Oryctolagus cuniculus: one gene and its partners. The protein of the gene in region 2 interacts with the protein of the main gene of each other region in a pairwise test. Links are inferred from orthologs where the notes say so. Each region holds a gene or a part of one and is shown on either strand. Other genes may lie near its edges. The genes, in order: NVL, HSPB1, FXR1, WDR83, PPM1A, BAG3 and PELO.

The links.
Region 1: the proteins of HSPB1 (region 2) and NVL interact in binary tests that used the Homo sapiens proteins (3 or more experiments, as listed by UniProt). The link is inferred for Oryctolagus cuniculus from reciprocal best matches to the Homo sapiens genes HSPB1 and NVL.
Region 3: the proteins of HSPB1 (region 2) and FXR1 interact in a two-hybrid assay, tested with the Homo sapiens proteins (2 studies listed by BioGRID and IntAct). The link is inferred for Oryctolagus cuniculus from reciprocal best matches to the Homo sapiens genes HSPB1 and FXR1.
Region 4: the proteins of HSPB1 (region 2) and WDR83 interact in binary tests that used the Homo sapiens proteins (3 or more experiments, as listed by UniProt). The link is inferred for Oryctolagus cuniculus from reciprocal best matches to the Homo sapiens genes HSPB1 and WDR83.
Region 5: the proteins of HSPB1 (region 2) and PPM1A interact in a two-hybrid assay, tested with the Homo sapiens proteins (2 studies listed by BioGRID and IntAct). The link is inferred for Oryctolagus cuniculus from reciprocal best matches to the Homo sapiens genes HSPB1 and PPM1A.
Region 6: the proteins of HSPB1 (region 2) and BAG3 interact in binary tests that used the Homo sapiens proteins (3 or more experiments, as listed by UniProt). The link is inferred for Oryctolagus cuniculus from reciprocal best matches to the Homo sapiens genes HSPB1 and BAG3.
Region 7: the proteins of HSPB1 (region 2) and PELO interact in binary tests that used the Homo sapiens proteins (3 or more experiments, as listed by UniProt). The link is inferred for Oryctolagus cuniculus from reciprocal best matches to the Homo sapiens genes HSPB1 and PELO.

Annotation. Positions count from the first base shown.
Region 1 is NC_091444.1:38,403,478-38,406,977, forward strand, and holds part of NVL (nuclear valosin-containing protein-like), read right to left. Parts: intron 1,733-3,500; coding exon 1,498-1,732; intron 1-1,497. UniProt on the Homo sapiens protein: Participates in the assembly of the telomerase holoenzyme and effecting of telomerase activity via its interaction with TERT. Involved in both early and late stages of the pre-rRNA processing pathways.
Region 2 is NC_091450.1:44,266,199-44,269,597, reverse strand, and holds HSPB1 (heat shock protein beta-1), read left to right. Parts: upstream 1-1,451; 5' UTR 1,452-1,613; coding exon 1,614-1,974; intron 1,975-2,433; coding exon 2,434-2,497; intron 2,498-2,608; coding exon 2,609-2,798; 3' UTR 2,799-2,899; downstream 2,900-3,399. UniProt on the Homo sapiens protein: Small heat shock protein which functions as a molecular chaperone probably maintaining denatured proteins in a folding-competent state. Plays a role in stress resistance and actin organization.
Region 3 is NC_091435.1:98,750,804-98,754,847, reverse strand, and holds the start of FXR1 (RNA-binding protein FXR1), read left to right. Parts: upstream 1-1,244; 5' UTR 1,245-1,573; coding exon 1,574-1,624; intron 1,625-2,217; exon of another isoform or gene 2,218-2,356; intron 2,357-4,044. UniProt on the Homo sapiens protein: mRNA-binding protein that acts as a regulator of mRNAs translation and/or stability, and which is required for various processes, such as neurogenesis, muscle development and spermatogenesis.
Region 4 is NC_091447.1:62,229,279-62,233,461, forward strand, and holds the start of WDR83 (WD repeat domain-containing protein 83), read left to right. Parts: upstream 1-1,383; 5' UTR 1,384-1,436; coding exon 1,437-1,539; intron 1,540-1,630; coding exon 1,631-1,751; intron 1,752-1,859; coding exon 1,860-1,965; intron 1,966-2,165; coding exon 2,166-2,214; intron 2,215-2,300; coding exon 2,301-2,427; intron 2,428-4,183. Other genes in the region: WDR83OS (PAT complex subunit Asterix), read right to left, coding at 1-13, 811-916, 1,041-1,090. UniProt on the Homo sapiens protein: Molecular scaffold protein for various multimeric protein complexes. Acts as a module in the assembly of a multicomponent scaffold for the ERK pathway, linking ERK responses to specific agonists.
Region 5 is NC_091451.1:10,259,571-10,263,566, reverse strand, and holds the start of PPM1A (protein phosphatase 1A), read left to right. Parts: upstream 1-1,196; coding exon 1,197-2,030; intron 2,031-3,996. UniProt on the Homo sapiens protein: Enzyme with a broad specificity. Negatively regulates TGF-beta signaling through dephosphorylating SMAD2 and SMAD3, resulting in their dissociation from SMAD4, nuclear export of the SMADs and termination of the TGF-beta-mediated signaling.
Region 6 is NC_091446.1:11,066,323-11,070,253, reverse strand, and holds the start of BAG3 (BAG family molecular chaperone regulator 3), read left to right. Parts: upstream 1-1,131; 5' UTR 1,132-1,414; coding exon 1,415-1,600; intron 1,601-3,931. UniProt on the Homo sapiens protein: Co-chaperone and adapter protein that connects different classes of molecular chaperones including heat shock proteins 70 (HSP70s), e.g. HSPA1A/HSP70 or HSPA8/HSC70, and small heat shock proteins (sHSPs), e.g. HSPB8.
Region 7 is NC_091445.1:73,605,688-73,607,963, forward strand, and holds the end of PELO (protein pelota homolog), read left to right. Parts: intron 1-77; 5' UTR 78-127; coding exon 128-853; intron 854-1,152; coding exon 1,153-1,584; 3' UTR 1,585-1,776; downstream 1,777-2,276. UniProt on the Homo sapiens protein: Component of the Pelota-HBS1L complex, a complex that recognizes stalled ribosomes and triggers the No-Go Decay (NGD) pathway.

The DNA of each region.
Region 1 (3,500 bases), on a different chromosome or scaffold from region 2:
TTTTCATTGACCACAATAGCACAAGCTGCCAACAGAAGCTTCTCCCAGGTCCTCTTCAGATTTTCCTTCTGTAGATGTACTGTTCCATTTGGAAGTCAAAGTTGGGCCACCTAGGTGGGTTCCTGCTGCAAGGAATTTGAAGAAGTCCTCCTCCTTCATTCGCAAGACATCAAGGCTCTGAACATTATGACAGCTTCCCCTTAAGTTACACCAGGAATCATGAACAACGCCATATGGGTCCCTTGCAGGATAGCGCAGAAAGGAATAAATAAATCTTAAATATATATATATATTTACTTGAAAGGCAAAGATAAAGAAAGGGAGAGAGAAAAATAGATCTTCCATCTGCTAGTTCACTCCCCAAATGGCTGCAATGGCTGGAGCAGGGACAGCCCAAAGCCAGGAGACTGGAACACTTCCAAGTCTCTCATGTGGGTAACAGAGGCCCAATTACTTGGGTCACCTGCTGCTGCTTTCCCATTTGCATTAGCAGGGAGCTGGATCAGAAGTGGAACATATATGGGATGCAGATGTTGCAGGTGGCAGCTTAACCCATTGTGTCACAACACCAGCCCAGTTCGTTTTATTCTGAATGGATCAAATACCTTGGACAAGTATATGTACACCAACTATAATCCAGTAGGTAGGAAGATATCTGTATATTACATTTGGGTGACATACAGCAAACAAAAGAAATTAAAAACACTTATTTAATCAATCATGATATTTCCCATTTCATTTATATTCATGAAGCAGATGTATTTTGATGAAATCACAACAAAGTTACTCTGGTACTCTTCTTTCATTATATGCTTTCTTGATGGCTTATCAACTTAGCAGAGATTACGCAAATTTCCTAGCACTATTGAATCTTGATGTTCAAAGGCAGGTTTCTTACTTTGTGAAAAACACGCAAGGAAACATAAAAAAAATTTACAAACTGAAGTAGTTCAATTTGTAAATTCCCAGATTATCATTTTATTTTAAAAGAAGTTATTTGAAAGCAATAGCAAGATTCAAGTCCCTGTTTTATAAAGTAGAGGCTATGTGACCTTGGGCAAGTCATCATCTCAGGCTTAGTGTCTTTGAGTGTAAAGGGGTAAAATAATGTATTTACTTCACAAGGTTATATGGTTCAAATTATATAACATACAGAAGCCATGGTACAAAATATAAAATGCTATATAAATATTGTATTAATATTCCATAACTTAGAAAACTTGAAAAATTTACTAGTGATCTTGGACTGATAAACTTCCCTCTCACATTCAGAAAACAGCTCTCTAGTGCTGTTTGTAGCTAAGGAGCTGGTTTCGTCAGCACTTTCCTGCATGCCGAATCAAAAGTTAACCAGGAAATAAACTTAGACGGCAGTGCTCTCAGAGGAGCTGCTAAACTTCTGTAAAGGACTAAATCTCATCTGTACTGACTTGCTGGAATGTGAGATAACACAGAGAACATTTAAAGGGCAGGTTCGAGGGCCTTCACAGAAAGCACCTGTGTGACAGAAGTGGGCTCAGTTCCCAGTGGCTCCTCCTGGCCAACTTCAGTTTTCAGATGTTTCTGCTGCTGTTGCTGAAGCTTCATTAGGCCCCTATTGACGGCACACATGGCAGCTTCCCGGCAGAGCGCCATCAGATCAGCACCCACAAAGCCAGGCGTTAGGTGTGCTAAGTGACAAAAGTTAAAGGTTTCAGGAAGTCTCAGTTTTCTACACAAAGTCTGAAGTATCCTGTGGAAAAGACAGGGAAAATTTTTCAGATTCCAAATTAATAGTAAAAACAAGCCACCAGCTATATTACTCTGAAGCCTTTCATCCTCATCAGGGGCATCCCAATGGGTAGCATGTAAGATCAGATCTCATTCATTCACTCCTCAAACGCTAAACGCTATTACATAGCCCCTGTTATTCAAGGATTATGGCAAAGAATTTCCTTTGTTAGGGACTACAGTAATTACTTTGAGGAATACAGATCAATTCTTTTAAAAAACACTCTGCCTTTAAGAACTTTGCAATATGACAGAGACGAAGTAATATGAATAAATTTATAGGACTATCTTTAGAGTAGATTAAATCAACATCTACCAGAAATAAAAGCCTCGACATGCAAATAAACTATTTGAATAAATAAAATGAATTTAATAAAAAAATTAATTTCATTATCACAAAAAGCTAGCTTCATACATGCTTTCACATCCAAGTTTGTATTAGAACAATTACTTCTCCAACTTCATTTTAATATGTTGTTCATGCCTTGTATTGCATGCCTAAAAAATTATTTTTTAAGATTTATTCAGGCCGGTGCCATGGCTCACTTGGCTAAACCTCTGCCTGTGGTGCCAGCACCCCGGGTTCTAGTCCCAGTTGGGGCACTGGATTCTGTCCTGGTTGCTCCTCTTCCAGTCCAGCTCTCTGCTGTGGCCCGGGAGTGCAGTGGAGGTGAACCAACAGAAAAGGAAGACCTTTCTCTCTGTCTCTCTCTCTTTCTGTCTAACTGCCTGTCAAAAAAAAAAAGAAGTAGTTCAGCTGGGAACAGACCTTGTGGCACAGCAGGTGAAGGCACTCTTTGAGATATCTACATCCCAAATGTGAGCCCCAGGGACTGAGTTCTGCCTCTGCTTCTCATCCAACTTGCAGCTATGATAGTCCATCTTTTTAAAGTAATTTAAAAGATTTTTGAAAGGTTTATTTATTTAATTGAAAGGCAGAGTTACACAGAGAGAGGAGAGGCAGAGAGAGAGAGAGAGAGAGAGAGAGAAAGAGAGAAAGGTTTTCCATCCAATGGTTCGCTCCCCTGTTGGCTGCAATGGCCGGAGCTGCACTGATCTGAAGTCAGGAGCCAGGAGCCAGGAGCCAGGAGCTTCTTCCAAGGCTCCCACGTGGGTGCAGGGGTCCAAGCCCTTGGGCCATCCTCTACTGCTCTCCCAGGGCAAAGCAGAGAGCTGGATCAGAAGAGGAGCAGCCAGGACTGGAATGGGTGCCCATATGGGATGCTGGCGCTTCAGGCCAGGGCGTTAACCCACTGCACCACGGAGATGGCCCCATAAATAAATCTTAAAAAAAAAAAAAAAATCGATCTCTCCCCCACTGCCTTTCAAATAAGTTAAATGAATTTTAAAAAATTCCTTAACTAAATTTCTACCTCACTACTTAAACAGTACTTCCCGAGACATACTCTGTTACTGAGTCCTAGTTTTGGCTACTATTGGACATTTACTGGCTTTACAGACATTCAACCCCAGTTCCAGGGAAGGCTGATCTTGCTGCATAGACAGTTAGCTTTAATTCTCTGGCTGTCATTTAATTATTTTTCAGGGCTCCCGTGGTCTTAGGCAGGCTCAAGTATAGAACTCACATTGAACTTCTCTGTGGAACACATGGCCCTGCTCTTTCAAAGCTCTAGATAATGTCCCTAAGCTGGTCAGTCAACTAAAAATCACAGCCAATGTTGATAAGACCACACAGGTGAGTATGGACACAGAAGCCCATTATCACCACT
Region 2 (3,399 bases):
CGTGGCGCCGGCCGTCCTCCTCTATCTTTTCATTCTGTCTTTCAAATAGAGAGAGAGAAAAGGAGAGAGACCCTCCATCTGCTGGTTCACTCCCCAAACGGCCACGACAGCCAGGCTGAAGCCAGGAGCTTCTACGGCACAGCACCAGCCTCCAAATAATTAAATTAAAAAAGAAAGGAAACAGGCTCAGAGAGGGGAGGGGGCTTCCTGCTACCCCAGCCTCTCAGCAGTGAGTGACCGGGAGTCTGGCTGCTGTGGGTGGGGAGCCCCAGCCCCCGTGTGTGTCTGGGAGAGGAAGCAGGGAGCGGCAGGGCCACAGGCTGACCCTGCCTGAGTTTTAGGGAAGACCAGGGCTGTCACCCAATTTCTTGGACCTTTAGGTTCCTCTCACAGAACGTCTACCAGGGGAGAAGGCAGGCTGGACAGGGGGTGCCCGTGAAGTGCAGACAGAGCAACTGTGGAGTATAAAGGATGGCCAGCGGAGTCGGGGGAGGGGGGTGTCGGAGGAGGCAGGTGGGGGTGGGGTGTGTGTGTGTCATGGAGGAGGCAGGTGGGGGTGGGACTGTGTCAGATGGAGGAGGCGGGTGGGGGTGGGGGGTGTGTGTCATGGAGGAGGCAGGTGGGGGTGGGAGTGTGTCAGATGGAGGAGGCAGGGGAGGGTGGGGTGTGTGTCAGATGGATGAGGCGAGTGGGGGTGTGTGAGAGGGGGCAGGAGGGGGTGGGGTGTCCAGGCTCACAGCCAGCTAGAGTGAACTGTACCACGTGGAGGCCCCTTGCCCTGCGCCCCGAGGACCATCAATTGCAGAAAGGGAAACTGAGGCCCAGCAAGGAGATTTTGCCCCTAGTCACAGCAGGAAGCCAGGGAGCCAAGCCCCGCCTGCTCTCAAGTTTGCTGCACTTGAGGTTCCCTGGCCAGGGTTTAAGGGAAGCCAGGTCCTAGCAGGGAGCCGGAACAACAAACTTCCTCCAGACCCCTCTCTCTCAGCGCTAGAGCTTGGAGGTCTCTGGTCCGGGTAGGGGGGAAAGGCCAGACCCCACCAACTCCGCCTCCTCATCCCCTTCCAGGTGGATGACGACAGCGAACCAGGATGACCCAGCAGGCGCATGACGTCACTGCATTCCCTGCTAACCCAATCACCAAGCATTTTCGCTGCCAGATTTTCCAGATGGGGAAAGTGAGGCAGGAGCCTCACTGCCACAAGCCAGCCCGCCTGGTGGTAGAAGCATGCGCCCCGCCCCAGGGACCCCCCGTGGTCACTCTGGGACCACCCAACCTCCTGTGACCCCTGGGTCTTCCACAAAAGACACGGGCTGGCCGCCGGCCACTGCGCTTGAGCGCGCAGGCTGTAGGGCCCGGCCGTGGGCGCGGCTCCAGCCACGCATTTCGCTTCCCTAAACCGGAGAAGGTTCCAGATGTGGGCAGAACCTTCCACGGCCCGCCCCTGTAATCACGGGGGAGGAATTCAGGGGGCGGGGCAGCCCCCAGCTGGTCATTGCCATTAATAGAGACCCGAAGCACCGCCTGCTAAAAATACCCGGCTGGAGACCCATAAAAGCGCGTCTGGGGCCGCAGCCCCGCACTTCTCCGCGCCCCTGCCCCGCGCACCGCAACCATGACCGAGCGCCGCGTGCCTTTCTCGCTCCTGCGCAGCCCCAGCTGGGACCCGTTCCGCGACTGGTACCCGGTGCACAGCCGCCTCTTCGACCAGGCCTTCGGGCTGCCGCGGCTGCCCGAGGAGTGGGCGCAGTGGTTCGGCGGCAGCAGCTGGCCAGGCTACGTGCGGCCCCTGCCCGCCGCGGAGGCCCCCGCCGTGGCCGCGCCCGCCTACAGCCGTGCGCTCAGCCGGCAGCTCAGCAGCGGCGTCTCGGAGATCCGGCACACGGCCGACCGCTGGCGCGTGTCCCTGGACGTGAACCACTTCGCCCCGGAGGAGCTGACGGTCAAGACCAAGGACGGCGTGGTGGAGATCACGGGTGAGCCCCGGGCCGGGGCGCAGGGGCCGGGGGTGGGGTGGGGTGGGGTGGAGTTAAAAGTCCGCCGGAGCGCCGCCCCGGCCCGCGGCGCGGCAGGGGCGCAGGGGACGGCGGGGAGCGGTGCGGGCTGCCCCTGAGGGTCCCTCTATTGGGGGCAGAGGCGCTGCTTCCAGCCAAGACCCCCGCCCCAAATCAGCAGCGCCCCAGGACCGCGCAGGGAGACTGGGGGGGGGGGCGTGTGCCCCGCCCCACGCGCGCCTGCGCGGCTGGCCACTCCCCAAACTCGGAACTTTCCAGAAGTTTGAGGGTCCCGACAGTCAGGCGCACGCCACACCCCCTGCCAGTCTCCAGCAGTTGCTGGCTCAGGCTGTGCCTGTCTGGGGCCCCAGCTACCCCTGAGCAAGTGGAGGGGCCCCCTTCCCGTGACCTCTGACCTCCCTCTGCACCCCCCCAACCCAGGCAAACACGAAGAGCGACAGGACGAACACGGCTACATCTCCCGCTGTTTCACCCGGAAGTACACGTGAGTCCTGGCCCTGGCCAGCTAGGGGGTGGGAACCCGGGGAGGAGTGACCCCTGCCGCCCAGCGCTGTGTTAACTCTTTCTTGCCCTCTTCCTTCCCTGCCGCGTCCAGGCTGCCCCCCGGCGTGGACCCCACGCTGGTCTCCTCCTCGCTGTCCCCTGAGGGTACGCTCACCGTGGAAGCGCCGCTGCCCAAGCCGGCCACGCAGTCGGCGGAGATCACCATCCCGGTCACCTTCGAGGCCCGCGCCCAGATCGGCGGCCCGGAAGCCGGGAAGTCCGAGCAGCCTGCGGCCAAGTAGAGCGCCCTCGCGCGCCGCCCAGCCCCCAGCACCCACCTGCGTGCCCTTTTGATACTGTTAAGCTTCTGGTCTTCGCAAATAAAGTTCAAAGCAGCTGCTTGCTCCTGCCTGGGACCCTGGTGTTTGGAGGGGGGAGGGGCGGGTCACATGGCGTCATTTTGGCACAGAGGGGTAGACGACCCTAGGGGTCTCCTGTCCATGGAGAAGGGGAATGATTGCAACCAGACAGGGCCAGGTGTGGGAGTCTGCAAACCCAGGAGACGCACCTGTCCCAGGTGAGGAGGAACTGAGCAGGAGTAGGGGAGGGCGCTTGCCCGGAGCTCCCAGACCCTCGGTGAAGCAGGCAATTCCAGGTGACTGAGCCCACCTGGGCAGCCCCTTGGTGCGGCATGGGCTCTGCCCCTGCCCCTGGGCACCGTGCGCAGGGGGAAGGGGGTGTGGCCCAGGTGTTGGTCCGGAAGGCTGTGATCTTGATATGCAGAGCTGCCTTGACTTGCCCGGGCGGGGACAGCCACACCCCCTCAGCCCTCTCCCTCTTCTGCCTGGCCCTCCCTGCCAGCCTCTTCCCTAGACTTAAGGAGAGGGTCCCGACGGATCTGAA
Region 3 (4,044 bases), on a different chromosome or scaffold from region 2:
ATCATGAGATGACATACACTTTGTTGGTCGAAGCCCTTAAATGGTGTGATTCATTTAGTTTGATGGGCATTTAGTTTACATTTTTGCCTACTTAACATTTAAAAAAAAGTTTTATTTATTTATTTTGAAAGGCAGAGGAATAGAGAGAGATTAGAGAGTGAGATCTTTCAACTGCTGGTTTGCTCCCCAAATGGCTGCAGCCGTGGGGGATCAGTATAGATGGAAGCCAAGAGACTGGGACTCCTTGCTGGCCTTCCATGTGATTGGCAGGGGCCCAGGTATTGGGGCCATTTTCTGCTGCTCTCCCAGAGGCATTAGCAGGGAGTTGGATTTGAAGCAGAGCAGCAGGGACTGGAACCAGGCCCCAGCTTCACCAGCTGTGCCATAGTGCCTGCCCTAACCTGAGCAACATTTATAAAAGGAACATCACGTGCATAGGGCTATTGAGCCCTTTTGCAGCCACCCTCCCACTGCAGCTTCCTTCCTGAACCTTTGGAGATGTTGAAGTGCTCATCAAGTGTCCTATACATTTGTGTGTGTAGTGAGGGATTCCAAAAGCTGGAACACTGGGCATTCCATCCGGAGCAGAGCGCCAGCAAAGCATCTTGTTTAACTTACATGTGAACATGGTAAAACAAGTGTACCAACACATACACAAAAGAGCCCCTATTATTTATTTCCAGAGGCCTTGCTTTGGGGAAATAAAAAGTTTGAATATTAAGTGGTGAAAACACTAGAGTATCTCTAGTATAATGCTTACAGAAGCAGGGTAGGTTCTGGTAGAAAAGCCACACGAAATAATTCTGCTTTGACCCTGTTAAACTGGGTAGGGGTTGCAGCAGGGGAAAGCGTCGTTTCCCGCCCTTCTAAGTTTCCCTGACTACCTCTAATAATGGCTATTAACCTCAACTCGGCTCCAGGCTGTGAATACAGCCACGTTGCAAGGAAAACACTGCCATTTAAGCAGCTGAAGTGGTAACAGGTGGGGACCGCGCTTGGTCAAACTGAGGGAGTGTGGAATTGTGGAATTTGAGCGAAGAAAAGTCAGATTTAACCAAAACAAAAAAAAAGGTCGAAAGAATTTACAGCCCAATAATAGGCACTTTTTTAGGTTCCCCTCTCCCCTCAAGAAATTGCGCCAGTGGGCAACGGGAGCCCCGAAAGTTGCTCTTCGCCAGCTGGGCAGCCACTCGAGGGTTGCTAGCACTTGGAGAAGTTTGAGCGCCGCATGCGTGAGGTGCTCGCGTCCCGGCAGCCGGAGCCGGGCCAGCAGCGAGCGCCGCGGGGTGGGGCCGCAGGCGCAGGTCAGCAAAGGTCGGCCGATTGTGTCGGGAGGCGAGCTGGGCGTAGGCGGCGGCGGGCGGAGCCCGGGGCGCGTGATGTAAGGAGCGGAGGGATCCCACCTGGAGAGTCGGGGCGGCACGCTGAGACCCCAGGGGTGTGGGGCGGGGGATCCCAATCCCCGCCCTGTTTGCCCCACCCCTCCCCCCGCCTCCTTCTCGCCCCTCCCCCCTCCTCCCCTCTGGTTGGAAAGTTTCTAGAATCTCTTCCCAGCGGCCTTTGCGGTTCCAACATGGCGGAGCTGACGGTGGAGGTTCGCGGCTCCAACGGGGCTTTCTACAAGGTACTGACCCTTTCGCCGCTTTGTCGGGTTTTCTGGGGGCCGGAGCGGGCTTAGGGGAGGGTTGGTGATCCCTGAGAATGCGGTTTGGGGTCGAAGAGGGCGGCCAAGCCAAAGCCAGCGACTGCTGGGTTCCTCGCTTCTCCTCCCTCCACCCGCGGTTTAACGGTCTCGGGGGCCCGGGCTCCGTTATGTTTTGAAACAACACATCGGACGCCTCTTGCCGTTTCCTACTTAGGAGCCTTCTTGTAGGGTCTTCATGCTGTCCTTGGCTGGCCGGCGAGGACAAACCCAATGGCTGCCGGCGGCGAGGAGCTCCCTGGGAGCAGGCCCGAGCGCGGGGAGGTGGGCAGTCGAGGAAGGAGGCGGTGGGATTGTGTGGTCACACCCGCTCCCCCGCCCCTCGGACTGGGCTGAGCGGGAGCTCCTCTGCCTGCTCCTCCGGACCCCTCCCCACCTCCTGAGGGGGTGCGTCGCGGAATCCTAGGAATTCACCTTTGTATTATTAGGATTTGGGGCCCCCAGTCTGAACCGTGTCTGCGAGGGGAAGGGGTCCTGGATTGAGGGGTACGATCGAGAAGAGAAAAGTAGGAAACCTAGAAATGTGGCGGGTTGAAATATTTTTTGCGGCCTGGAAAATTGGGCGGCGCCTTCAGCCCCTCTGTTGCCGGAGAAAAGGCGAGAGTTCGAGGCTTTAAAGTAAGCTTTAAAACGTGAGCTGAACGGGGGAGACAGGTGAGGAGGCGACTGGTTAATTTCTGTCAGTTATTTGGTAAGGTGCGGCCTTTTTTTTTTTTCTTCCCCCCACGAGGTTCTTTTTGTTTGTTGCCTTTGGAGGAAGGAGATGCATTACTATGGAATCGGGTTGGAAAACGGAAGAGCGGTTGAGAGTGGAGGAATTTGGTCGGGGCTTCCAATGTAAAAGGTTACGAAATTAAATTTAATCACAACCGTGGTGTTTTTATTATTATTTTTTTTAATTTTCACCATTATAGCACTCCTTTTTTTCTTAGTTCTCTTTCTTCCAAAGTATGCCAGGAGGTTACAAGATCAATACAAAATCTCCCCAGCTGTTGTCTGTCAGTCAATCTCACTAAGCCAGCATCTCAAATGTTTGAGAGTCTTGGCTATTTTTATGAAGGGCTGCCTTGTAATAGATGAGTATTGTGCCTACGCAGAGTGAATTCTCATAGGTCTTCATTTCGGCGAACCCTTTATCCCATAAATAATTTATTCTTACTTAGTGGTCATGATTTCCTATTTTCAGCATTTTGTTTTTCCTTTCCTGATTTACTGATTGGCTCTGTGTATTTGGTTTAGCTTGTCACGAGGTAAAAGCATAGCAGAAAATCATAAAGCCCCCCCCCCAACAGTCTTTAACAAGTTTAAATTTTCTTAGATGGTTCACATAAAGTAGAAACAGTGCACGTTGAAACGGAGTGTTTAGTATCACCCTGTAATGTAGGTCTAGTTATTTCAGGTTTAAAAGTAGGTATCAGAGAAGCTACCTAAGTGAAATTTGAATAGATATTTCATTTACTTCATTTCTTTCTGAAACCAAGTGGTTTCCTTTTCTGAACAGATAGCCGATATGGGAAGCTTGGGCAGAAGGTGCAGAGAATGAACTTGCCCATACTTTTCCTGTCTAGAGGAGTTTGCATCATCACCATCCCTTTCCCCAGTGGAAAAGTTTCAGATTCTCACTGTTGGGCTATGCAGTTCTTGTGTAAGAGAGGCATGTGTTTTTTTCATTGCATATTGAAAAATTGAAAACGATTATTTTGATTTAACATTTTACCTCATGCAGGTAGCCTGTCAACATAATAAGTCTTCACTTATTTTATAAGATTGGTTAGTCTTTGGTTTCTTGTGGTATTTTTCTTTTCAATCCACTAAATCATGTCTCCATTTGGACCTCTGAAGTGTTGATTACTGATCCTCATCCATACACATCTTCGTTCTGAGATTTCATTGCCCATTTTGCCTCAACAAAGTGAGGTGTGACTTTGGCAAAGGTTGGGAAGTAGACTAGCTACATATGTGTACTGAAATGTTTGCTTTTCAGCCTTGGAAATTTCATGTTCTGCTATAAATCCACTTCTACATATACTTTGTGGAAGTTGTAATCTTTAGAAATCTGGAAGGATAGTGGCAAAGTGTAGAGTGTCTGGATTTGAAATAAATAGGAATTTATGTCTGTATTAAGTTTACCACTGTCTTCCAGTGGATCCCTGAACTAGTCTAAGGCTATTGTCTTGTGTGTAAATGGCAGATTTGAAGTAGTACAATAATTCCCAGTTTTTATTCCACAAAACTGTGCTTTTAGAAAGCAAGTTGACTTGTCACACAGCAACTGTTTTTAACCATTCGATTTTCTAAAAATTTAATATATATACAGTAGAATAAGTTTTTTTGGGTGTACA
Region 4 (4,183 bases), on a different chromosome or scaffold from region 2:
CGCACCACTTCAGCTGGGGGAAGGCAGGGGGCCGCTGCTCAGGATGCCAGGGACCCGACCCCACCCCCGCCCCAACCACATTCCACACTGTGCGGGGCGGGGGACGGTGGACATTCGGGCAGCAGGGACGGCTCGAGCACTCGGGCGCCTGCCGCCTGCGTGGGAGACTTGGATGGACTGCGCGCCTGGCTCCCGGCTCCCAGCTCCCGGCTCCCGGCCCCAGCCCAGGCCCCGCGATTTCTGGCATTTGGGAAGTCAATCAACAGACGGCGATCTCGGTATGTCTGTCTCTCTGCCCCTGTCCTCCTTTCACTCTGCCCGCCCTCCCTAGATCCCAAATAGTAAGTAGAAGATCTCATGCATACTTTTTAAAATGATCCCACTTTGTCCAGTTGGGACCCTACCCTGCCCCCCGGAAGTGGCTCCACCCCCCCCTTCAGAGGCAACGCCAGGTACCCAGCTCCTGGTTCAGTTCCCAAGCTTGTGTCTCTGACCCCACCGAGTTCCCTGAGGCCCAAGAATGGCCTGAGACATCGCCCCATGCTGCCCACCACCATCATTTTTTCCAGAAATTTCTTCCAAGTTGCTTCAAAGGCTGTCTCCACCCTCAGACGGACCTGCGAGGCGCCCCAAGCTGACTCTGAGGCCCCGCACCTTATCTCTGGCTGGCCTCAGGCCCCGCCCCTCTCCGCTGGCTGGCCTCAGGCCCCGCCCCCCGCCGCTGCCCGGACGCCCCGCTTCCACCGGATCCTGCCCCCCCGCCCCCATTCTCTGGCTTAGCCACGCCCACGGGTACCCAGTCCCGCCCACCTTGAGCATTAGACCGCACATGCTGAAGATCATGCCCAGCAGGTTCATGTAGTCTGGCGTCGGGTCATCCAAGGCCGGGTTACACTCACTCGGCGGGGGCTTGTACCTGAGACACGCTCAAGAGTCAGGGACACTCAAGTCTCGCCCCCGGGACAGGCAGGCGGCTCCCTTGGCCCCGACCCGCACCCAAACCCGAGACCCGTCACCACAACGCTGGGGTCCTCCCTCACCTCAGCACTTTGTTGGGCCTCCGTGGGTCCGACATATTGTTGGTGGACATTGCGCGCGGAAGGGCCAGCTGGCGTCTCTTCCGCTCCCGGAGCCGCCGCTTCCGGTGCGGGAGCGGAGGATGCCTTTTAGAGTAACACCCACAGCCCTGACGCTTCCGTTCCACACCGCAGAGGCCAGGACTTTCTCCAGGCAGAAGGGGAAAAAAACTAAACGACACCCAAAATATTCCTTGAAAATTGGAAGTGGTATGGGGGGGTGGCTTGAGAGAGCGGGCTTCGATATTCTCAACATCAGTCACCACAGTATTGAAGGCTTGAATCCGGAAGTGAGAAACCGGAAATCGGTATGGGGGACAATAATAAGGTGACACCCAAGCGCGCCGGGACCGCGGAGCCATGGCTTTTCCTGAGCCGAAGCCGCGGGCCCCCGAACTGCCGCAGAAGCGGGTGAAGACGCTGGACTGCGGGCAGGGGGCCGTGCGGGCGGTGCGGTTTAATGGTGAGCGCCTCCTTCGTGTCGCGGCCTCCTCCCGCCTCCTGAGGGTCTGCGGCCCCATAACCGCTCCCCGTCCGCGCCCGGTGTTCCCCAGTGGACGGCAATTACTGCCTGACGTGCGGCAGCGACAAGACCCTGAAGCTCTGGAACCCGCTGCGGGGGACGCTGCTGCGGACGTACAGCGGCCACGGCTACGAGGTGTTGGACGCGGCCAGGTGAGCCGCGCGGGCTGGGATCGGGGAGCGCCGAGGCCAGGATCGGGGTGTGTTGGGGGGGGGTGGACGGCCACCTTCCCTCCGCCACCTCCTCTTCCTGCCCTGCAGCTCCTTTGACAACAGCAGTCTGTGCTCCGGCGGCGGGGACAAGGCGGTGGTGCTGTGGGATGTGGCATCGGGGCAGGTTGTGCGCAAATTCCGAGGCCATGCCGGGGTGAGTGCAAACCGGGAGACCCCCCTGCCCTCCCCCCAACCCCAAACCCTGAGCCCATGGAGGGTGGACGGGACCGCCACTCCTGACAGCCTGCCCATCAGCAAGCCCCGCCCTCTCACCGCCCCCACCCCCTAGGCTGTGCCCTTGCCCCAGTCCTCCCAAAGTCCAGCCTCCTCTGAGTGGCAGTTCTTGTTTCTCAGAAGGTGAACACGGTGCAGTTTAATGAGGAGGCCACGGTCATCCTGTCTGGTGAGTCTGGCGCCTTAGGAGTGAGGGACCGAGGGGCCATCCCCACCCCCTCTATAGGTGACCCCCATTTCACGGCGGCTTTGCAGGCTCCATCGACTCCAGCATCCGCTGCTGGGACTGCCGCTCAAGAAGACCTGAGCCAGTGCAGAAGCTGGACGAAGCCAAGGACAGCGTCTCCAGCGTGAAGGTGTCGGACCACGAAGTCCTGGCAGGGTGAGTAGACCCTTGGTCTTAGTATATATATTTATTTGAAAAGCAGAGTTACAGAGAGAGCGGGAGAGACAGAAAGATCTTGCATCCACTGGTTCCCTTCCCAGCTGGTTGCAACGGCCGGAGCTGCACCGATCCAAAGCCAGGAGCCAGGAGCTTCTTCCAGGTCTCCCATGCGGGTGCAGGGACACAGGACTTGGGTCATCTTCCACTGCTTTCCCAGGCCACAGCAGAGAGCTGGATCGGAAGTGGAGCAGCCAGGACTTGAACCAGTGCCCATATGGGATGCCGGCACTGCAGACAGTGGCTTAACCAGCACACAGCACTGGCCCCGAGACCCAGGATCTAATCCTTCCCAGCCATGCCATGGACGATCAGAGCTGCCTCTGCACCTGCATCAAAATCTGCTTTCTTCCTCACCACCGTTCATTCACAGCACTGTGCAGTGTATGCCTCCCCCACCCGCCCAACATGGACCCCTCGGCGTTTTGTTTTTTGTTTTTTGTTTTTTTTTTTTTTAAGATTTATTTTTAGGGGCTGGTGCTGTGGCATAGCGGGTAAAGTCCCCAACTGCAGTGCTGGCATCCCATATGGGGGCGAGTTCAAGACCCGGCTGCTCCTCTTCTGATCCAGCTCTCTGCTGTGGCCTGGGAAAGCAGTAGAAGATGACCCAAGTGCTTGGGCCCCAGCACCCGCATGGGAGACCTGGAAGAAGCTCCTGGCTCCTGGCTTCAGATTGGCACAGCTCCGGCTGTTTCGGCCAACTGGGGAGTGAACCAGTGGATGGAAGACCTCTCTCTCTGCTCTGCCTCTCTGTAACAAAAAGAAAGATTTATTATTTTTTTGAAAGAGTGATAAAGAGAACTTTCTTTTAAAAAGATTTATTTATTTTAGGCAGAGAGAGAGGGCTTCCATCCACTGGTTCAGTCCCCAAATGGCCACACGGCCAGGGCTGGGCCAGGCCAAAACCAGGAACTTCACCCCAGTCTCCCACATAGGTGGCATGTGCCCAGCTGTTTGGGCCGTCTTCTGCTCCTTTCCCAGGCGCGTCAGCAGGGAGCTGGGTCAGAAGCAGAGCAGCCAGGACTGGACCACAACACTGGCCCCAGCTGCAAGATCATTTTAATTGGCTTTATATTCTATTCTAGAATTGGGTGAAGCTTTTATTCCGTAAAATAGGATGAGAGCTCCTATGAGCTAAGCAGAGATTGGTTTTATAAACAGGGAAGAACAGAAGGCAGATTGGATTTTCCAGGGATGAGACTGTGGTCTAGCAGGTTAAGCCACTGTCTACAACACCGGTATCCCCTCTGGGCATTGGTTCAAGTCCCAGCTACTCCACTTCCCATCCAGCTTTCTGCCATGGCCTAGGAAAGCAGTGGAAGATGGCCTGAACAATTGGGCCCCTGTACCTGTATGGGAGACCCAGATGAAGCCCCAGGCTCCTGGCTTCAGCATGGCCCAGCCCCAGTGGGTGGAAGACCTCTCTCTCTGTAACTCTTTCAAATAAATAAATATTTAAAAATCAGTAGAAAAGTAACTGCTTAGTTGAGTGCCAGGTTATATCAGGTTACGTTTCTTGCCTCTTTGGGAAACTTGGCTGTTTCCTGGTTCTTTGGTTTTTTAAACATGTATTTATTTATTTGAAAGTCACAGTTACACAGAGAGAGGAGAGGCAGAGAGAGAGGTCTATCATCCCCTGGTTCACTCTCTAAATGGCCGCAATGGCTGAAGCTAGGCCAGTTCGAAGCCAGGAGCT
Region 5 (3,996 bases), on a different chromosome or scaffold from region 2:
GATCTCCTTTACTATTTATACATGGTGGTCAAATAGAGTATAATAGTAATGTGTTTTTGCCTTTAGATTATTAGATTATTAGATTAATTTTGGTATATTTGTATAGGAAGCTTTGTGGTTTGTATAATTGCTTTTAACTTGAAATTGACAGGCTGGTGTTTTAGCCCAAAGTGTTTAGCTGCTGCCTGCAGTGCCAGCATCCCACGTGGGCACCAGTTCATGTCCCAGCTGCTCCTGTTCTGATCCAGCTCCCTGCTGATGGCCTAGGGAAACAGCAGAAAATGGCCCAAGTGCTTGGGCCTGTGCCACCCTTAAAGCTATTAGCTTCAGCCTAGCCTCACCCTGGCCGTTGGCAGCCATTTTGGAAGTCAACCAATGGATGAAAGATCTCTTTCTCTCCCTTTCTGTCCATCTCTGTAACTCTGCCTTTCAAATAAATAAATAAATCTTAACAACAGAAAGTTGAAATTGGGCCATTTATAGTAATTTAACAACGTATTAAAGACTTTTTTAATCAACGACTGAAAAACCTCATGGAAGAGGTAGAATTTGAGCCAGACTTTATACTGTTTTCTGTAAGCAGAGAGGAGGAGCATGGGATTCCAGTAAAGGAGGCTGACTTGAGTAAAGGTAGGAGTATGCCAATTGTGAGCATTGTAAGAAGATCTTTTTTTACTTTCTCAGTGGATTCATGTAGTGGGAATAGAACCGGGTAATTTGGATAAACTTTGGAAATTCCTAAACGTGGAACTAAGATGTTTGAATTAATAGGATTCTTATATGTCCTGTGAATTTATTTGTCTTTTCTTGATTGATACACATACGAGTTAGTTCTGAGATACCCTAAGAAAAGGTGCAGTATATCCTTAAACATTTGTCCCGGTTCGTGCAAGTTGATGGCCACTGTCAGGTCCCCTTTCTACCCCAAGCATCAGGGAGATTGTTTTATCAGCTTCCCCTCATCCCCACGCTTTAGGTCTCACTACCTGCGGTCCACTCTGAGCTGTGCGTGATCAGCCTTTCTCCCCCAGTTCTTCCCTGTTAGTGTCCAGTTTGTAAGTCAACAGCACAGGTGTCTGCTTATAGTAAGAGTTGTGAGTACTTGTCTAAGACTTTTGCTGTATCTTCAGAAAAGATAAGGCAGTGATTGACTTTCCTGTTTCTTTTCCTTTGCAGAACTAGAGGATCAAGACATAATGGGAGCATTTTTAGACAAGCCAAAGATGGAAAAGCATAATGCCCAGGGGCAGGGTAATGGGTTGCGATATGGGCTAAGCAGCATGCAAGGCTGGCGCGTGGAAATGGAGGATGCACACACGGCTGTGATCGGTTTGCCAAGTGGACTTGAAACATGGTCATTCTTTGCTGTGTATGATGGGCATGCTGGTTCTCAGGTTGCCAAGTACTGCTGTGAGCATTTGTTAGATCACATCACCAATAACCAGGACTTTAAAGGGTCTGCAGGAGCACCGTCTGTGGAAAACGTCAAGAATGGAATCAGAACAGGTTTTCTGGAGATTGATGAACACATGCGAGTTATGTCCGAGAAGAAGCACGGTGCAGATAGGAGTGGGTCAACAGCGGTGGGGGTCTTAATTTCACCCCAGCACACTTACTTCATTAACTGTGGAGACTCAAGAGGTTTACTTTGTAGGAACAGGAAAGTTCACTTCTTCACACAAGATCACAAACCAAGTAATCCGCTGGAAAAAGAACGAATTCAGAATGCAGGTGGCTCTGTCATGATTCAGCGTGTGAATGGCTCTCTGGCTGTATCGAGGGCTCTTGGGGATTTTGATTACAAGTGTGTCCATGGAAAAGGTCCTACAGAGCAGCTTGTCTCTCCAGAGCCTGAAGTCCATGACATTGAAAGATCTGAAGAAGATGATCAGTTCATTATCCTTGCATGTGATGGTATCTGGGATGTCATGGGAAACGAAGAGCTCTGTGATTTTGTAAGATCCAGACTTGAAGTCACTGATGACCTTGAGAAAGTTTGCAATGAAGTAGTCGACACCTGTTTGTATAAGGTAGCTAGACCTTTTTTTTTTTTTTAAGCATAAAACAATTTATGTTGTATTAATTAGTATTTAATCATTCTGTAACCTGCGGTTCTCAAAAGTAAGTTTTAGCACAGTTGCAGGTTACTCTTCATCTATTATGAAAATACAGGGACACTTTTTAGAAGTAAATTACCCCATTATCATGTATGCAAGTTGTCAACTGACTGGTCTTTTAGTAACCACGATTACTTGGAACCTTCTAATAATGGGGATGTTTATCAAAGGTAAAAAGATTATATTAGAATGCTTCTTTTAAAGGAAGGAAGATGGGGATGGTTAGCTTTCATACAAGTGAAAAAACATTTTAGAAATTTAATACTTTTGCCATGTGATATCTCAGAACATATGTGGAAGTACTTTTCGACTTTGGTTTAATGAATCAGCACCAGCAAAGGTACTTAGTGAGCATTTGGTGTGATGTCATAGAAATAGCCTGGGACATGGAGTCAGAAGAAATTGGTGTGAGACTGTTTCTAACTCAGGTAAGTGATTTAAATTCTCTGGAAAAATCAGTTTAATTGTGAAAAGGGTAAGACATACTCTCACACTGTGTCCTGTATGCTTGTTGGGAGCATCAGAAGGGATCATATCCATAGATGAGCTAGTTTGGCTGTTTTGTTCTATAGTGAGACAGACCTGGATCAAGGCTTACCTCGTAGACTTTTGTACTCTTATACTCTTTTTTTTTTTTTTTTTTTTTTTTTTTTTTTTTTTAAAGAGTTACAGAGAGGGGGGAGGGAGAGAGACAGAGAGATCTTCCTTCCATCCACTGGTTCACTCCTCAGATGGCTGCAACAGCCGGGGCTGGGACTAGACTATTCCAAAGCCAGGAGCCAGGAGCTTCTTCCAGGTCTTCCACATGGGTGCATGGACCCAAGTACTTGGGGCCATCTGCCGCTGCTTTCCCAGGCATGTTAGCAGGGAGCTGGAATGAAATATGTAAGTTGTCTAGTTTAACATATAATACGTCCTCTATACAAGCTGCTGTCTCTCCTAGGTAAGTTATAAATGACTCAAACAGGGTTATACAACTTGAGTGGCAGCATTAAAACTAGAAAATCTTGACATTTTACTTATGGCTTATTGTTGTATTTTGTCAGTGGTGGTTTTATTGATTTTTCTTTTTAACACATTGATTTTATAAAATTCGTGTATTTGATTTAACATTCAGAGATTCAAATTCAACATTCTGTATGGTTTTATAGACACACTAGCAACTCGACTTAATTGATACCTGATTTCTGTGATATCCAACGCATATGTTGACATCAATAGAGTAACAGCTCTATTAATAGTGCATACGGTCAGTTTCTGAATTTCAGGAGAACTGAATATGATTTAAGGCACATATGTTGTCACCTTTAGTCTGTAGGAAAGTATCATTTATTGAGTTTATTCTGCACTGCTTGAGAGTTAAATGCTTGTTAGGTAAATTAAGAACAGTTTTCTTGAGTGCAAATACACAGTATACCTTAGATTCCACTTTTTTTTTTAGCTCCTCTGCATTATTTTAAAAATTAGCAAACATATTAACATTTGTCACATCTTATACAATTTTCCTCTGATGATCTTTTCTGTTTCTTAAGTTTGTTTGTTGATTAAGCTAATGATACAGAAGATCAGTCTTTTCCATATACCTGAGTTAAATGCTTAAAAAGTAAAAGTTAACTCCAGTTTCCTAGTAGGAAGGAGAGTAGAGGGAGGCCCCACCATCAATTCAATCATTTAATTAAATCATTTTGAATACTCGGGTATCTTTGAATATATTTCCTAAAAGGTCATTTTTTATAATGATAGTTAAAAGGTAGTTTATAAAGTTAATGTATATAGTTTTACTTCTAACTCCATATTTTACTTAGGAGGCAAATGTGTTGACCCCACAATTTATTGTAAATTATTTTAACTGTAAATTTGTCAGAGATCTGCATAGCAA
Region 6 (3,931 bases), on a different chromosome or scaffold from region 2:
AGATGGTTGGTGACAGCATCCCAAAGGCAACCGGTGACAGTAAAATGGTGCAGCCTTATCTGTTGCGCCATCATCTTGGGTTCTGCCCCACCCCCATCCCACCACTGCTGGAAGCCAGGCGACCCCATGGCCCAGCCACCGGTGTTAGCTCCACCCCCACCCTAATGGGATTCCCTATTCCTACTTCCCTGCCCGCCTGGGGCAAAGGTTTAAGAGGACCTTTTCTTTCTCTCTTTGGATCTCTGTTAGCTCTCCTCCTCTCCTACTCTCTGGCTTCCCCCACCCAACCATAAACCCTTCTAACTCAGGTGTTTGGTGTGTTTTGTGGCGGCTTTCCAGTGACTGGAAGGGCCCGAGGATCATGGTGAAACTGACCGCTCAGAACAGTCCTTTCTGCTTCCCGAGAGATCATCAAAACCCTCAAGAAACCAGAAAATTATTAACACAGGGGAAGCAACTTGTCGATTTTGCCTGGCAGATTCGCCCCAATCTTTAGCCAGAGAACTCTCTGGAACCATTGAAGGGATGGAGGACTGGCTAGTTTGTGGGCTGTAATGCCAGTGGTGGCCGCCACCTTCGTGACATCATAGATGACATCAAGGGTGGCGCGTTGGACCGCCCGGCTAGTTGAGAAGTGCAAGGGAAAACGTTTCACTAAAAACAAAACCCGAACCCAAACTCTGAAAGAATGTGATTTTTAAGTTTTTGACTGAGTTTCTGGAGTTCAGTCATGAGGCTGCTGCAACCTCTCTTCCTCAGGTTTCCGAAGGCAAGCAAGTGAGTCTCCATGTTCTCCCCGCCCGCGTTGTGGAGCCAGAGGAGAGCTCGGGGCATCCCTGGAAAAGGCGCGCGGGGCTCCCCGAGGACCGGGATCTGGACAGCCGCGGCGGCGATGGCGGCGGGGTGGCCGGCTTCCCCGAGCTTAATTAAAGATGCCTTCCTTGCGTGGTCGCGGAGGCGGCGCAGCGGGCGCCGGCGCGGGCTCCAGGGCCCCAGAGCGCAGAAAAGCGGCGCGAGCGCGGGAGCCGCCCACGCGCGGCGGGGTCGCCCGGGACGGCCCTCGGGACCGAGCTCCGCCCCAGCGGCCGGCCGAGGCCCCGCCCCGCGCGCCACGCCCCTCGCCGATGACTCAGGGCGGAGCTCCGCGTCGGCCCGCGCCGCCAACTTCTCCGGATGGGGCCAGAAGTTTCTAGCCGGCCAGTTGCTGCCTCCCTCTCTCTCCTCCTTCCCCTTTGGCAGCGAGGAGGCTATTTCCAGACACTTCCAGCCCTCTCCGGCCACGTCACCCTCGCCTTTAATTCATAAAGGTCCCCGGCGCCGGCTTCCAGGACACGTCGGCGGCGCGCAGGGCTCTCCTCCGGCCGCGGCCCACACAGCGACGGTGCGCCCCGAGGCCCGAGACCCCGCGCCCGGCATGAGCGCCGCCACCCACTCGCCCGTGGTGCAGATGGCGTCCGGCAACGGCGCCGCCGACCGCGACCCGCTGCCCCCCGGCTGGGAGATCAAGGTCGACCCGCAGACGGGCTGGCCCTTCTTCGTGGACCACAACAGCCGCACCACGACGTGGAACGACCCGCGCGTGTCCCCCGAGGGCCCCAAGGTGAGCCGCCGGGCCCGCGGCCCGAAAGGGACGGCGAGCGGCGGCGGGGAGCAGGCCGAGGACGGCCGCCCCGGACGCGGACACCGGCCCCCACGCGCCTCTCCCGGCCCAGTCGCCTCCCGGGACCCGCCCTTGGCCGGCGTCGGGGCTAACGCGGTTCCCCGGGGCGCCCGGGCGCGTTCAGCGGGGACGGGGGGCAGCGCAGTGAGCCGGCGTTCGGGGAGCGGTCAGCCCCGGAGGCCTGTGCGGCCGGCTCGGCCTCGCGTCCCGAGGCCGGGGGTTCGCCCCGCGTGGGCGACGGTCCCCTCTCTGCGTTTCTTGACTCCACTCCCCGCTCCCGGGGGTCTCGAGTCTTTTTCCTGGAATCCGCTGTGCCCTCTGGTGCGACCCGTGGGGAGGAAAAGCCAGGTGCTGCCTTCCTAGGCAGCCGCTGGAGAGAAGGAGGGAGAGAATTTTCCTTGTTATGGTATTCAGATACTCCGCACTTGCTTCCAGTCCACAAATAACCGATGAGCGAGCCTCGAGGGTGGCAGGTGTATGCCTCCCCTACGCATGTGCGGGGAGGTGTGCGCCCTCCCCCTCAGCGGAGAGGGGGAGGAAATAGGAGATTGGGAACGGGTTTGTTCGTTAGAAGACGATAATTGACTTTACTGCTTGTTCAGTTTTCTGTGAATCTGAACGTTTTCAAGATTAAAAGCTTGGGAAAATACATACACTTAAAAAGAGAGTGAATGAGTCCAGGCACAATAAATGCAGTAAAGAGCTGGTAAGTTATTTTGAAGACTTCTAAACTCGCCCCATCATAAATGCTTTATAAACCATTATTTTGGAAGAAAGACATGTATTGTCTGCCTTATTTTTTTGTTCTTAAAAATATTAACAAAATTCTGGTACCCAACAGGGAGATAGTGTACATTCAGCAGTTGTACATTTACAAGAAATTAATTGTATATTCCTGAAAATTGATGTAAGAGGCTGTAATTAACTGGGAAGGGCATAATTACATATACCTTTGTGTGTGTCTGTTCAGCCCTTTATTGGGTGAAGCTTACATTATTTTCAGGCCAGCCCCCTTTCTGGAGATCCAGACCCTTAGGGTGGGACCCTGTTCTTGCTCTTAGACCACAGGTAGCCACAGGCGGGCAGAATCTGCAGGCACTGTGTCTCCAGTGAAGATCAAGTTTGAACATACTGGTTGCCAGCACTATGTTTTCAACTTGAAACTTACCCAGCAAGTTGTGATCTTCTGTACCCACTGCCGGATAGGGTTAGGCTGTGGTTTCATAAACCTTTATAAGGAGGGAAAAACAGGTTGAGCTACTATTATCCTTCTCAACAAATAGAAAATAATAACTAAGTCAGAAGTCCAGCACTGGAAAAGTTGATCTGAATAGGAAACAACCAGAATGCTAAAGTTGAGACATCTTCCAGGATCATTTGGTTCAGCCTCTTTTCAGTTGATAAACCCAACAAGTTCATGTGTTTTTTGAAGGTCATGCAGCTAATTCCAAAAGCAAGGAGAGAGCTCGGTGGGAAGGCCTACTAAGAGGCAGTGTGGATCCGTTGGGAAGAAGTCAGAAGTAGCTTGAATTGTTATGAAACTGACGCATGCGGGCTGGAATTCTTGATTACGCGATTATCTTTGTGTCCTCTCTGTTATGGGGTCACTGACCTCTACCGTGTGTGTTTGCTTGGATTCTGATGGCTCAACGTGATCAACTCAAGAGGAGTTTTCTTAACCAAATTAGCAGCTTGGATTTGTCCGTGCAGCAGCGGGAGAACACCAGCACTCAGCCCATGCAGTGTTGGGGCCTCATTATTTCAGACCTGCGCTTTGATATCGGGGTGACTCACTCAGTTTCACTTACATTAGGTACACCGTACTCCAGACTAAATATGGTGGAAATGCCTTCCATCCAATTTTACATTAAAAACTGGGTTCTTGGGGTCGGTGTTGTGGCGTAGCAGGTGACACTGGTGTCTCATGGGCACTGATTCGAGACCCAGCTGCTACACTTCCAATCCAGCTCCTAGCTAGTGTGGCTGGAAAAGCAGCAGAGTGGCCCAAGTGCCTGGGCCTCTGCACCCGTGTGGGAGACCCCGAGGAAGCCTCTGGCTCTTGTCTCAAGTCTGGCCCAGCCCCGGCTTTGGTGGCCATTTCAGGAGTAAACCAGCAGATCTCTCTTTTTCTCCTTCTCTATAATTCTGCCTTTCAAGTAAATAAAAAAAAATCTTAAAAAAAAAAAAAAATGGATTCCTGAAAAGGGACATGGCCTGAAGGGCTGATTTTGGCAGAGGTGAGCTGAGCTTCCGGGAGCTCCCTCACGTTCA
Region 7 (2,276 bases), on a different chromosome or scaffold from region 2:
CCCGCCCGGCAGGTACTTGTAGAAAGCGGACCCGCCCCCTTCCCGGCCTAGCCTCCCCTTCCCTGTCCCTTTCCTAGGGGGCGACCCCCTTCGGTTCTCGTGTGGTCGGTGAGCCCCCGCCAAGGCCATGAAGCTCGTGAGGAAGGACATTGAGAAGGACAACGCGGGCCAGGTGACCCTGGTCCCCGAGGAGCCCGAGGACATGTGGCACACGTACAACCTAGTGCAGGTGGGCGACAGCTTGCGCGCCTCCACCATCCGCAAGGTGCAGACCGAGTCCTCCACGGGCAGCGTGGGCAGCAACCGGGTGCGCACCACCCTCACTCTGTGCGTGGAGGCCATCGACTTCGACTCCCAAGCCTGCCAGCTGCGGGTCAAGGGGACCAACATCCAAGAGAACGAGTACGTCAAGATGGGGGCTTACCACACCATCGAGCTGGAGCCCAACCGCCAGTTCACCCTGGCCAAGAAGCAGTGGGACAGCGTGGTTCTGGAGCGCATCGAGCAGGCCTGCGACCCTGCCTGGAGCGCTGATGTGGCGGCCGTGGTCATGCAGGAAGGCCTCGCCCACATCTGCTTAGTCACTCCCAGCATGACCCTCACCCGGGCCAAGGTGGAGGTGAACATCCCCAGGAAGAGGAAAGGCAACTGCTCGCAGCACGACCGGGCCTTGGAGCGGTTCTACGAGCAGGTGGTGCAGGCCATCCAGCGCCACATACACTTTGACGTCGTCAAGTGCATCCTGGTGGCCAGCCCGGGGTTCGTGAGGGAGCAATTCTGCGACTACATGTTTCAGCAAGCAGTGAAGACTGACAACAAAGTGCTCCTCGAAAACCGGTCCAAATTCCTTCAGGTAAAGCAGTCCTAACCCGGGGTCGATTAAGAACAGGGTGGAGGGATTGGTGAAAAAACACCCCTGAAGTTTTAGAGCTGGGGAAAGTGAAAGAAAGTCCTGTGGTTGGTTGGGATTGTAAATGAGATAAGGAGATGAAAAGAAGCGGTAAAATAGCTCGCAGATTTATTTAATGAACTGTGTTGAAGTCCTTGAACATACAAAGCCTAATTAATGTCTTTGGCTTTAGGTCGGTGTGGGCTGGTTAACGGGTGTTGGGAGAGATTGCTTTTGTCTAACTTTGATAATTGTGATTCTAGGTACATGCCTCCTCTGGACACAAGTACTCCTTGAAAGAGGCCCTTTGTGACCCTACCGTAGCCAGCCGCCTTTCAGACACTAAAGCTGCTGGGGAAGTAAAAGCCCTGGATGACTTTTATAAAATGTTACAGCACGAACCTGACCGAGCCTTCTATGGACTCAAGCAGGTGGAGAAGGCCAACGAAGCCATGGCAATCGACACGTTGCTCATCAGCGATGAGCTCTTCAGGCACCAGGATGTAGCCACGCGGAGCCGGTATGTGAAGCTGGTGGACAGTGTGAAGGAGAACGCAGGCACGGTCAGGATATTCTCCAGTCTTCATGTGTCTGGGGAGCAGCTCAGCCAGCTGACTGGAGTAGCGGCCATTCTTCGCTTCCCTGTGGCTGAGCTCTCCGACCAAGAGGATGACTCCAGTTCTGAAGAGGATTGATGAGTGAGACTTGGAATTAAGACACCCTCTGTCTCACTCTGCCACTGTTAGGTTTCCTTAGCATCCTTGTGACAGCTGCAAGAGGGACACTTTTTGATTCATTCAGGAATTTCTCTTGTGTTTGGTTGCACTGGGTGTTTTATGGTCAGCAGGACATGTATTCAGACTAAATAATAAACTAAAAGGAAATAATCTCCATGTACTATTATCTTTATTAATTGGGATACTTTTATATGGGCATTATGAGTTATTTTTAATATGAAGATTTTACATAGTTAATAAACATGGCTGTATATTGTTTGGGATGGGTCATAAAATCTGCATACTTTGTAATAGTTTTCCTTAGGGAAAAGCGTTTTACCAGTTTATATAATTTTAATTCTACATGATGTTCATGCATTATATTTAATGATCCCTTTTCTCCCCAGCAACCCCAGACTTTTTTTGGGGGAGCAGGGTGGTTGACAATTTTAAGTAGTAGTGAAACAGTTAGTAGATTTGAGTACAGTTTAAAATGGTATTTTTCTTAAGAGACTTGTTTAATCCATCATGTTATAAGTAAACACTTGGCATTTTGTTGTTAGAATTAATCATATTTGCTTTAGAGGGTAACTGTTTCAGATTAGAGATTTGTTCTGGAGAATCTGAAGATAATCCCTATGAACCTCTTTATTTTTAAGATGAGACTGAGG